2 linked regions of the Schizosaccharomyces pombe genome follow. The gene in region 1 interacts genetically with each later gene. Each region holds a gene or a part of one and is shown on either strand. Other genes may lie near its edges.

What was found.
Region 2: of mtl16 (region 1) and abp2, extra expression of one rescues a mutant of the other (dosage rescue), as found in Schizosaccharomyces pombe (one study listed by BioGRID).

The regions. Positions count from the first base shown.
Region 1 is NC_003424.3:4,519,432-4,526,255, reverse strand, and holds mtl16 (methyltransferase Mtl16), read left to right. Parts: upstream 1-3,175; 5' UTR 3,176-3,305; coding exon 3,306-3,379; exon of another isoform or gene 3,380-3,425; coding exon 3,426-3,501; exon of another isoform or gene 3,502-3,579; coding exon 3,580-3,590; exon of another isoform or gene 3,591-3,636; coding exon 3,637-3,791; exon of another isoform or gene 3,792-3,839; coding exon 3,840-4,216; exon of another isoform or gene 4,217-4,263; coding exon 4,264-4,353; exon of another isoform or gene 4,354-4,409; coding exon 4,410-4,784; 3' UTR 4,785-4,881; downstream 4,882-6,824. Other genes in the region: SPOM_SPAC27D7.09C (But2 family protein ), read left to right, coding at 1,717-2,868; Sm snRNP core protein Smd1, read left to right, coding at 5,266-5,279, 5,323-5,372, 5,429-5,718; etf1 (electron transfer flavoprotein alpha subunit), read right to left, coding at 6,185-6,824.
Region 2 is NC_003423.3:4,128,865-4,135,465, forward strand, and holds abp2 (ARS-binding protein Abp2), read left to right. Parts: upstream 1-2,000; 5' UTR 2,001-2,837; coding exon 2,838-4,421; 3' UTR 4,422-4,771; downstream 4,772-6,601. Other genes in the region: naa35 (NatC N-acetyltransferase complex subunit Mak10), read left to right, coding at 4,855-6,549, 6,595-6,601. UniProt on the Schizosaccharomyces pombe protein: Binds, preferentially, to the Maundrell ARS consensus sequence within ARS3002.

The sequences.
Region 1 (6,824 bases):
GATATAATGCCTTAAAATTAGAAATGCTACAACTCTAATATGTCAGCAACTTTACGCTGTGTTGCAAATCACTAATTTTATATGTTAAAATACTAGTTGAGATCCGCTTATCGATAATAACGGAAGACCTGTTTCTATTACTAAAATACCCGTTTAATTAGATATTAGACAGAACTACTGTAAGTAGAGCTCAAACTTTTCTTGTATGTCAGTTCCGGCATGAGGCAGTTATAAGTAGAGACATAATGTAACAATAATGATAGTATCTGTTACTCGTACATTTTACATATCGCTTGCTATACATGAGTAAATTTCAAAAAAAACTCATCTCTAACCTACCGTTTGCTGCCTTTTTTAAGGATTTGAGAAATGCAGTAAGAGTTTTCTTTGCCGATTCATAATATTACAATAAGCAAATAAATGAGGGAGTAGCTTGCTATATGTATTCTAATATATAAGTTAAATTGTTACCTATCACTAAAATAACTTATAACTGAGCTTCATACTTCAAATTTAGTCATAGTTCTCAGTTCTATTTACAACTTACCTAGTAATTTTGTTAACGATTTTTCAATGCACATAGAATTTTGATAATCTGCAATTACCGGTTCGGGGATCTAATTAATATTTACCATATGTCATTAGTAGTACGTAGTTGTTAGCTACGCAGTTTAGTATTTATTTAACGACACATTGAACTACAGTTAGTTATATATTAGAACATTAGTTAAGATCCGTTTATTAATAATTGTAGCTATTTATTCATCTATCCACATAAATTTCACATTCATAGCTGCTATTAGAAAGATTATAAATAGAGCTACAACTGAATCTCGTTCCTCAGTTTCACTTACTAGCTAGCTATATCTGTGACTGCTTCTAGTAGACTCATTAAAACAATGAATATAACACTGTTATTTAAACATACCGCATACCCCTACATCAAGTTGCAAGAAGCCATATAGGAACACATAACGCAGCTCAGTAAATTGACCGCAATATGGGATAACATAGAGTAGTGCAGTATTATCAATATTACCGCAATTTACCGTTAGTTCTCGATAAACTACCGGAAGTGGTTTCTTATAATGTTGTATGCAGGGATTTAGTGAATATTACGTAGAGTATTATTTTAAAAAGGTTTCAGCAACTGTACCAGAATAGCTAGGCTGAATACCAATTTGGGAAAATTCACTTGACTGGGTTTCTAATCATAAACATACGGTTAATTGTATCAATAGAAGTTATGATTAATATTTTTCCGTAAATACCCTTGGAATTGTATGACATATATTGATTTGCTAAGTAAAGCAATAAGTAGCGTACTGCAATTTTGCCGATATGAAAAACTGCACATGTTTATTACATAATTACTGCCATTCGGAAGCGCCGTGTAAAGCGGATTATTTGAACCGGGTTTTTTTCATAGAATATTCTTAAATTTTATCGAACTAAAATTCTAGAATAATGTTCATTATTATAAATATAAGCACGATGCTTGGCAAATAATTGTTGGTAACACTTAAAGAAATATCTGATACGAAAAAAGGAATTCTTACTTTGGTTGACAATAAGTGATTAATCTTCTTCAGTTTGATCAATCTTATTGCAATATCTAGAAATTCCTCCAATTTTTTAGTTATTATTAAAAGTTTCAATTAAAAAAAAAAACATTCATTTGCTTTGACTTTCTTGCATTTTTGTTTAACTTACGTTATGAAGCTTACTTCAATCCCCATTGCTTCCACATTGCTCTCTTTGCTCGCTGCCTCGGGCACATTAGCTTCACCGTTGCATAAGCGTGATGACCCTTTGAACAACAAGCAATTTGGCCTAATGTCTATTCATTCTGGCAACAGTTATGTCCACTTGCACCCTTTCTATGTAGGAGACTCTGGCGCTATTTACCTGGATCCTACTGATGGTACCAGTACTAGTGCTGTCTTTTCTATGAGTAACGGAAGACTGGTTGTCGGAAATCTTTACGCTTCGGTTGACAGCAATGGCACCACTATTTTCAAATCTGATGCTAATGCAGCTTCCACTAAGTTCAGTGCTGGTGATGCTACTAATGTTGGATACAATCTTCTATATAATGGAACCCAATCTGCGGTAGCTTGTCCTGCTAGTGATAATGATCAGGTCTACCAAGTATACTTCGGAGCCGGAAATGGTAACCCCAATTGTGCAGGTATTGCTATTGAGGCCTTCGTGTCTCCATCCTCTTCTTCTTCTTCTTCTAGTTCAGCTGCTACTTCAACTTCAACTCGCGTTTCATCGTCTGCTAAAGCAAGCACTTCTAGTGGGGCAATTGCTTACACCACCAAATGTGTTGTTGTTCCTGTTACAGCATCGGCTACTGCCACGGCAAAAGCTGCATCCGCAGCAGCTTCCTCAGCTGTTTACCCTCTTTTCCCACATGGAATTCGTTTGATCGATTCTGCTAACCCCAGTTCCAACTCCGGTAATGTTTACTCTCCAGTCGTCTTTCAGAAGCAAAACAATCATACCAACACGATTTTCACATTTGATGTTCCTCAAGTTTCCGGCAGTTGCGAACTCAACCTACATCTCGATACTAGCGGTTTCCCAATCACTGTTGAAGGCAGCAATGGTGTTGGTCAATTCATTCTTTTCAACCTCTCCTCCGTCGCCAACGATTCTACTGTTTACTCCAACCGTCCAAACCGCATTGCCGAAATTGGACGTTTCAACTGCTCTAGCTCTGGTTGCGATTATGCTACCAACGTTACATGCCCCAACTCATACACCGCGGTTTCTTATGAAATGATGGCTCTCACTGATGACTCTTATTTGAGTTTCTTCGAAGAAGCCGATCCTCTTGAGGGATTAACTTTACGAGTTTAAATTTAACTTATTGAGAAATCAAGAAGCATTATCTAGTTTAACTTCATTAGCATTTAAATTCATTACTTTTCTTTCCTTTATGAGTAATAATTTCCAGTAATCTTTGGGTAGACGCTATTGTTAAATGGAAAAATCTATTCAAGGGCCACCGATTATGTTGTACCATTTACCTAAGTAGACTCAGTGTATGCTGTATTTATTTTTGCTCACCTAATGTACCTTTAATATTTTTCTATATATTACCACTAATTATACGGCATTCGAAAGCGTTATTTGTACGAGCAAATTTGCGTTTTTTAACCAAGCAACCGCCGATAAAGGCGATATAGCAAAAAAAATTTACGTACTCAAAAATATGACTGATAAAACTGATATTATAAATTTCGATAGTTTAGCAAGGGATTATCCCGACTTGAGATCTTTGTAGGGCGTTCTCAATGCCAATTTATATACTAATTGAACGTAGCGTCAAAAATGGTCGCATTGATTTTTGGAACGAAGATGCTATTCGGTTGGTAAACTCACATATGTTAAACGATTGCTTACCTATAAATTAGTACGTTAGGAAAAGCAATTCTGGATCGGGATTATTCTCTTCGTGTTGAATTTCCTGAGAATCGTCTATGTCCAATGGTAAGAGATGTGTAGCATCACCAATGTTTCTTTTAAACAAACATTTCCCTTCTCTCATAAATGCTAATTCATTTAAAGGTTCCAAACCGGTATATTAACACATTGTTTATTCATCATTTATAACCAACTTTTCAGAGCCACTTATATAAGATATATTCATGACCTGTTGTCAAGTACATCTGGGCAAAAGGATAAAAAAAGAATCATTGGTTTGGATATTGGTACCGGCGCTAGTTGTATATACCCATTATTAGGCTGTCGTATGTACTCATATGATTTCGTTGGCACCGGTAAGCTTTGATTTTTCACAGGCTTTTACTAATTACTCAAAACTCTAGAAATTGACAAATTTTCTTTTGAAACAGCCAAGAGCAATATTCTTCAAAATAACATGGAATCCCAGATCAAAATTGTGCTTCGTTCTAAACAAGACTGCTTACTCCCTGATACCGAAGGGATGGAAGAATTTACCTTTGTGATGTGTAATCCCCCATTTTATGAACATGAGGAAGATTTCATAAATTTTAAGCAAAATCCACCATCGGGTGTTTGTACTGGAGTTTATCATGAAATGGTTACAGAGGGTGGTGAAGTCGGATTTGCCAATAAAATCTTAACTGAAAGTAAAAAAAGGAAAGGAATTCAATGGTATACCTGTATGTTTGGCAAAAAATCAAGTGTACCTGCTGTGGTTGATAAATTGCGTGAACAAAATGTAAGTCCTAACTAGCCTTTAAAATTTTTTTAACTTATATCTGTAAGATATCAAATTATGGAATTTACGAACTCGCACTTGGAAAGACTAAGCGCTGGATAATTTGCTGGTCATTTCAGGCTATGCGTCCACACAATGTATGCTGCTATCGAACGATATTTAAAATTCATGATACTAACAAAAGGATCCAAAGGAACTTATACGTCCTTCTTCAACTTCCCTTTCTAAATATTTCCCCCATAAGGTTCTTCAGAATTGGACTTTAGACCCAGAATTATGTGCTCAAATTGATGACATTCTACAGAAATTCTTAGATGATAACAAAATTCCGTGGTCTAAAAAAGGATCCGTTTTGGAAATATCAACAAAATCTATCACTTGGTCTCGTAAAGCTCGACGGATATCCAAAAGTCAAACTTCTGTTTCTAGTCTGGAAGGACAAATGAAATGTGAACTGAACGTAATAGATAATCAATTGCAGTGTAAATGGATTGAAGGATATGATTATAATGTTTATGAAAGTTTCTGTTCAGCTTTAGCGCGAGCTTTACGGGACAATAAAAAATAATTCAATTCGTGAAAATTCACTTGGTAATCTTCTTATATTGAATAGCCAAAGCTTTGAATTTTGTATTTGAATAAAATGTCTTAAATTGTATAAAATAAATGATTAAAACAAATGACATGCGATACATAATAATTTTATCTCTAAAATTTGATGCCTTAAAGCTCATTCGAGTATTGGGTTCGAAACCCATTTATTTAGACTAATGAGTGCTTTCACTTAATTATTAAAATTAGTATCAAGCTTTTTCAACAGTCGAATCTGTATTAAGAAGTCTTAGCTTCTCAACTTTATTCTCAGATACTGGAAAAATAAATGCACATGAAGATCAGCCTATTAATATCACAAAGCTATTTTGGACTAGTAAAACTTCAGAATCCATTATATCTTAACATAAAATTGATGATTTTATCTATTGTTGATGTGTTTTAGTCGAACATAATACTTGATTTTTGCAGTTGCCAGGAACACCAAAGCACACACCATGAAGTTGGTACGGTAAGTATGATAAAAAATCTATACATATTCCTAACGAGTTTAGCTTTTTAATGAAGCTGACGAATGAAACTGTCTCTATTGAGTTAAAAAATGGTACGTAAAGCCTTACTTTCGTATAATAAATGAACCAAACTTACCAAATCGCGTAGGCACAATTGTTCACGGAACGATTACTTCTGTTGATATGCAAATGAATACCCATTTAAAAGCTGTTAAAATGACTGTCAAAGGTAGAGAGCCAGTGCCTGTAGAAACTCTGTCAATTCGTGGAAATAACATACGCTACTACATCCTCCCAGACTCGTTACCACTTGATACCCTTTTAATTGATGATAGCACAAAGCCAAAACAAAAGAAGAAAGAGGTAGTACGAGGTCGTGGACGTGGACGTGGCCGTGGAACTAGAGGCAGAGGCCGCGGTGCTTCTCGTGGGTTTTAAATATTATGAAAATATTCTCTTTTCGCACCCTTATTTTTGTCAGAGAATTTAAAATTATTGGCAATATCAATCGGCCTTTGCATTTTATTTTCTTTTAATAGATTTGCTTTGTGATGACATTGAAGTATTGCTGAGAGTGTATGCGTATTCTATGTTTTCCATGTTTCTATCATTTATCTCTGGTTAAATATCTAGACCGCTAAAAAAATCCCTTTCTTTCTCATACGTTGAAATGTTTGATAATCAACCTACGATAGCTTTGCTGAGGTGGCTTCATAAATGTATGTATAAAACGACTTCAGAGTTGTTTCACTGGTATATAATTAAATATTACATCAAAAATTTCCTTAATTTATTACGAGTACCCAGTTAAATAAACGTGTATTTTATTAACTTCTAAAAAGATGTGAAATTTGAAATAAATGTGATATTATGAAAAATAAGGAATCATTCCTCAACATGATTTTCAAAGTTTTTCAGTAAGCTCCGGGACGATTTCAAATAAGTCACCTACAATTCCCACATCTGCTGTTTGAAAGATAGGAGCATTTTCATCGCGATTTATAGCAGCAATGACTTTGCTATCTTTGATTCCGGCAAGATGCTGAATAGCACCATCAATTCCAACAGCAATATAAAGCTTTGGGGCGATGATTTTTCCAGTTTGACCTATTTGTAAAGAATTATCAGCATAGCCAGAATCCACGGCAACACGTGTAGCACCAATTGCTGCACCCAATTTGTCAGCCAAAGGTGTAAGGATGCGTTCAAATGTCTCTTTGTCTTTCAAAGGTCGACCACCAGCAACAACTCTTTCGGCAGAAGACAAATCAGGCCTAGCATTCTTTATAATATTCTCACTAACCCATTCTTGTAGAGCAGCTGGTTTTGGATCAATACCTTCAACAACAGTGGCTGCTCCTTCACCACTTGAAGGAGCGGCGTCAAATGCAGATGCACGAACGGTGACGATTTTAATAGGATCCTTTGTAGACACAGTAACGTTTACGTTTCCCGCGTATGTCGGACGAACGAATGTGTCAGCAGAAACCACACCAATAATGTCACTAATCTGCATCACATCAAACATAGCAGCCAAACGAGGC
Region 2 (6,601 bases), on another chromosome or scaffold:
AACTTACTAGTGCTGACAGCGTAGATTACGGTAAACAGAAACAAACATGCCTCCTTAGAATGAAGGTCAGAAAGGGAATTCCAGAGAAGAAATGAACCCTACCTAGAAGCATATTAAGTAGCCGCTACCAAGGGATGAACCCAAATAGTGGAAAAGACGGATTGAGCAATTGACATTCAAAAAAACGGCCTACCGCAATAACAATTTAAGAGATTAAAAATAGATTTATCATTTTTTATAATTTTTTTATTTTTGGGATTTCTTCTGGCTTGGCCATCCAATTGATGATTGTTTATTAACTTACGATTATATTAGTGCTAAACCACCATTATTTATTACAGTCGGTGTTATTAAGCGTATTGCTGACGAGATTTTTTTTCTTGTATGAATCCAAATTTGCGATGCTACGCCTTGACTGTTTTCTTTTTTTCACCATAGTATGTGAAAATTTTCTGATGCCGAAATCTCAGCAATGGTGAAATTTTGCCAAAAAAGGGGTCAATTGATCTTGAATAGGGCTGAAAAAAAAATTCAAAAGTAAATAAAATTAAATATATTTATTTACAAAAAGTTAAGTCGGTTTGGTTTTTCGCTTCTCTTTTTACAAAATTTTTTATTATTTTATTATTTATTTATTAATTTTATATCTAGCAGATCAATATTTAGCAAGCCACCCCGTACAATAATTAAAATAGCTCTTTTCATGACATAGTAAGAAGACTAAAGTGCGAAACATGTTCAATTAACGCCAAGAAAATGCTTCCGTTTACGCCTCCTTCAACCATACCCGAATTTTTTACTCAAAATTTATGTACGTACTTTTGGCTGTATTACAAGAATCCATAGCTAACCTCTGTAAAAGGATATCACCTTATACACAAAGGCTAGGTTATCCTGCTACCACTATAAAGAAAATGAAAGTTCCCATAATGAAGTCTGTATTTTGAATGTATATTGTCACTTTATTTCGCCTACAACCTTCACGCGAACTCAGCAAAAAAGGGAAAACCCTATTTTACAGCGGCTTCAAATCAGGTCCTTATTAGTGCGACCAATTGGCCTTTCTTCCTTAAAATGGCGATTGCCGTTTAAGGAATATCACTAGAAGCCGTTAGCAGCTATTATTTAAATTGGTAGTTTCAACAAGTAAATCGAAGAAGGCATATCTCTTTATACTTTGAGTGGCAACTCAAGAAATTGTTAAAATTAGCTGTTAAAAATTTGCCATAAATATAGAGAGTGAATGTCGTTTTGTTTACTAACAGTAGTACTCATGTACTCTAATCTAAATAGCTGTTTATTTCCAAAAAAAATAGTTTTATAGCTTATTATTCGTAATAATTAGTATTCAACCTTAGATTTGTAATATGCGCTCCGTTGCAAATGCAAAAAGATACTATTAGAGAAGAGCCGATTTTTTAAATTCTCGATGCCGCTGGATCATTTCCACTGTCTGTCTCATTATTTATTCTGTTTTTTTATATGATTCGATTTTATTTGTCTTTTTCATTTATAGCATTGGTCGATTGAAATCAAAATTTGCATTTTTTGTATTCCATTCGGGTTGCCGCCAATGTGTGCCCCTAGTGTGTGCCCCTAGTGTGTCAGGTAAATAACAGCAGTCGAGACAGCGCAATAACCATTGCTTTACAGAAATGAGTAGTAAATCTGTAATAATCTTTGAACTCTTGATTGAAACATTTTTAATTTATTGCCTCTATTTTTTAATGCAATCCCGTTCCATCTTTCCTCTAGCAATTTCTCGATCTATCCAAAAGATATAGGGAGATTGAAGGTGTCCTAATGTGCGATTACGTATCCCTCATCGGTAAACGGCGCACGACTCCGTTTACCGACAGTCGTTAAGTACCTTGATTCAGCGAGTGCTACGGTAACAACGGGTTAAAGGTATCATCTTGTTATCTGAGTCGGATGGCCCAAGGTATCACAATATATGAAGGAAAAAGAGTACTTTATTCGCGTTTCCCATTTTCTACTCTATCTTCCATTCCAATATATAAATTGGACTTTTGCTCGTGTGCAAGTTTTTCGCGCTTTTTATTTATCGTTTGTAAATTAGATTTAAGAGGTTTCGCCTCTTTGGAAATATCTTTCTTTGCCATCCTTCTTTTGAAAAATCGCGAAATTGTATGACCGTGCAATTTTCTTTTTCTCGAAAAGCTAAACGCCAAGGTAATAGGTTTTCGTGAGAGAAACTCTTCCAATTCTTAATTTCAATTGTGAATACAACCGATTGTTGGAGGGTTTACAATTTTTTCCGAAAATTTCTCGACACCCTTGCTATACGTGCCATATAGCTTAGGGACACCATTCTTATTTTCTTTCTTAAAGAAGAAAAACTTCTGTAATACCTTCCGCATCCTTTTTTCATCATAGGAGGGGATCAATTGTTTTCATAATCTGTGCATCTTTTCGTATAGTGTAGACGAGCTACTTCATGTCAATACTTCTCTAATTTCTAGAGAAGAAACAAACAAAATTTAACATCTGTACTTATATTTTCTTTTTTTTGGTTACATTCATTCTCTTATTTCGTTTTTTTTGCTTTATTTACCTCCATTCCCTTTTTTTAGTGTACGGAAAAAAAAACATCGGTTCATTTACAGATTGGAGTTTAATTTATAGACAGCAACTCCTTCCTGTTCCAAGAACTGATACATTCTATTAAAATCCCTGGATCTTTTCTGATATTTATATACTGTTAATCTCTTTATTCGACATTGCTTGTGTCTTTCTGTCGTGTTTACTTAATAATCCAACGTTTATCTATCTGTCTTTTTACATTTTTTATTGTTTTTTAAAGCAATTAATCAAGGATGAACTTTTATTCCTTGTTGCCATCTAGACATGATGTTAGCGCGGATAATATTACTGAAAAGTTCTGCCAATTCTGTCTTTGCTGCAATCCCTGGTATGCAGGTGCTGACACGAGGCAATTAGCAAATGCATTCAATATGATTCCTAAATCAGAGGGTCAAAAATTTGAGATTTGGGTCTTATTTCTCCTTGTCCGGCAATACCACCAAAAAATAATTAACTCTTGGTCCAAGCTGGTGGGTTTTCTTGGTGTGGAACGAAAAGATGAACAATCTACTCAAAAAATACAACAGTATGTTGTTCGTTTAAAACGGTGGATGAGTCAAACACATGTTGATGCTTTTTTCGATTATCTCCTGAATAAACCAAATCCTTATTATCTCGAAATTCCTGAAACCCAACCTCAAGTTCGATGCAATGTAAATGTAACTGATGATTTGGTTATTAAATCTTTACGTGCAGGCTTAATGTCTCATCCAGATGTTAACTCTTCCTCCATCTCCACAATGCGCACGTCAACCTCCCCTTCTAACTGGATTCATTCAGCTAGTGCTAGTTTAGACGACAACACTCACAATCTTGGTAGCTTTGTCACAAACCCTCATGCAGATTCCCAAGAATGCCCTACCCCTCAATCCCTTTTAATGAGAGCGTCCCATCACATGTCTGAACGAGGTTCTCAACAAGCACATCAGACAACTCCTCAAAACCATTCTCTCCCACATCCTCCAAATATGTTTGAACCACCTGACGAAGACCATCAGTTACCTTCCGCAGCCAACAATTCACATAACCATGATCACGCTTTTCAAACTGCTGAAGCAGTTGGCGTTGCTGATTCCATTGATCCTGACTGGCATCAATGGCCTGATGATTTACGAGACGTTTCTTCACCCAAAGAAAGTGACGGGTTGAATGATTCTTGGTCTCGACAAACCAATCAAGTAGAAACGGAAAATGTTGAAAATGAAGCAGGAGTCCCTCGTAAACGCGGGCGTCCGCCAGGAGCTCGTAACAAAATTAAACGGCTGAGATCTGAACCATCTGTGTCATTAACGCTAAGTATCTCTTGGTATGAAAGATTTGAAAAGTTGATGCATGCTCAAAATACAATGCTTCGCTCTGCATTTTCACATGTTGCTCGTCTGCCCATGGAAACGGTTTCTCAACTTTTATCACACTATACTGAAACGATATCCCAATATCTTCCTCCCTCCGAAACTTCGCCGATCCCCAAAACTCCCAATTTTAAGTTCATCTCAAGTACTCTTTTAGCCCTGGTCTCTTCTCATTCCGAAATCCTTGAAGCCAGTACCGATCGCTTAATTTGGACCGTTCATCAAGGACCATTAACAGCTACTATATGTCATGCATTCAATTTGGAAAAAGCGCCGAGTATGCACTCATTAGCAGAAGCTCAGATGATTCCCGATGTCCCTATATCTCATTCAAATTCAATGGAGCCTTTAGACACTGTTTCCTCATTAAAATTAGAAATTGCCAAACTGAATGCGGCCCTAAAAGAAAAAAATTTAGAACTCGAAAATTTAAAGAGAAAGATTATGAATGCAGTGTTTGACTGAAATCACGATTCTTCCATGCATGTATCTATTTATGCAGTACACTTTGCGACTGCACGTTCCACGAACTGGTGCAATTTCAAAGTTACAAAATTCTCATGTTCAAAAAAGCATAATTGTTTAAAGTATTTATTTTGTTTTCCTTCTCTTTATTTTATAAAAAGTTTTTAGATATTCTACTGCTAGGTGAGATGGGTTACCATCGAGATAGTTTTTTACCTTTGCAGATACAAGTAAAATAATTTCAAATTGGATTTATCATTGTTTTTATTATTATTGAAAAAATTACCATCTTATTTACTCTCGAAAATGTTATTGAACAAGCATTTTTATGCGTGGAATTTTTGTTGTGACTTACAGAGTAACACTTTTCATTAACCCATAAACTAGACGTTCAATAGAAAATTGGTCAATATAGGGGTGTTTTGTCGATTTTATGTCTGTTAAAGAGTCCCTATCATTGCTTAATTCTATGCAAGGAAATGTGAAGATTGGAAATGTGGAACCGGCCAAAGGGAACGAAGGTTATGTTGATAACGCTGGATATGTCGACTGTACAAAGTCTTACTTTGAAGCCACGAAATCTCTGAAAGAGGAACAGCTAGTATGTGATCCAAAATTTACATTATTGGATTCAATCAGTGCCTTTGAAATTATGGAACCGAAAATGGATAGTGGGATTGATTATCAGCCACTTCGTGTAGATTTTTCACGTGATCTCTCTTACTTGGAAATATTAGCGTTAATGGATTTAATTGTCTCTGCGGAAAAAGAGTGGCATTATGGATCCCCCTTATCAGAGAGCTTACTCTGTAGTGCCCATGTGTTCTCCATTTGCAAGTCGCCTATTTCACAAGTGGGTGACAGTGGCTTCTCCAGTGGTAGCGGAAGGAATACAACTGACATCGTTCTTTTCCCTTTTGTTTTGGCTGTTATTAAATGTTGCGATATTGTTCATCGAGAATTTCTGATGGGAAATTTATATGACGAGGAAGACATTAGTTCGTTTTCATATCACATGTCCTTTCTTCAAAATTACCCCATAGAAAAACTCAATTATCTTTTGCAATCTAGCATCGAATATTTGGCTTCCGAGGTTATAAAATTTTCTGCCGAGTTACGACAAATTATCGAGGGAATTCTCAATAGAATACAACTTCGAATTGGTATTTTACGAGTGTATGAAAGGAGTGATATTAAGACCACCATCGATGCTCTCCATCTGATCAAAAATTTGGTACCCGAGATTCAGAACACGGTTTCGGTAGTTGATTCATCTATCAAGGAGAGCATATTAAAGCAATATTGGGATTTTCGCGTCCAAGCCCAATTAGTTGCTACAGCTCCTGTGAGGAATATTCCTCCTACTGGCATTGAGCATTCTTATCAACGAATTTTGTATTTTGCTGATGATATGCTTTTGATTTTGAATAGCCACACTCTCGCTTCTTCCTTGGCAGTATATCAGTTTTGTTTAGATTTTACGAGATTGAATCGTACTCCAGAGCCTTACGTCCGTTCCTCCCTTCAAGCACTTATCACTGCTAACAATGCAGTTAATCTAAGGGATCAACCTACTTCGTATATGTTAGAATGTATTCGTGAGTTTTCTGGGCTTCCTTCAAATTTTTATAATCCTAACACCCGTACAGTAATCGAAAAAAACTCTATCTCATCAGCCTATGGTCCGCTAGTTGAGTCTTTGATTGCTCATTCAACTAATATCATGGTTGACCTTGTCCGAATTTGTTCCCACAATCCCTGTCGGTTCCGCCGTAATCTAATAAATTTACTTCCTGAAATTACCGTTGCTCATTTTGAAGCTGAAGCGCTTGATTTGAAATTCGTAGCAAAAAGCCTACCAAGTAATGGACCGTTTTCATCATTTATTTACCATGTTAAGCTAAATGCAATTGAGCATATCTTGCTTTCTTCCTTTGAACAAAAACTTCACCAACCATATCAATGGCCCCATTTTTTTGCTGTGCTTGATCATGTCTTTTCTATCCACCAGACTCATTTAGAGCTTCATGGAAAGGATCGTAATACCCCACCTATGGCCAAAACCTTTGTTACATATTTGCATCGAATATTGAATGCTATAAAGGAGACCTATTCTGGCTATTTACTAGTATGTATAAAGCTTATCGCTTCTTTTTTATTCTAACGATTTTAGCTGACGG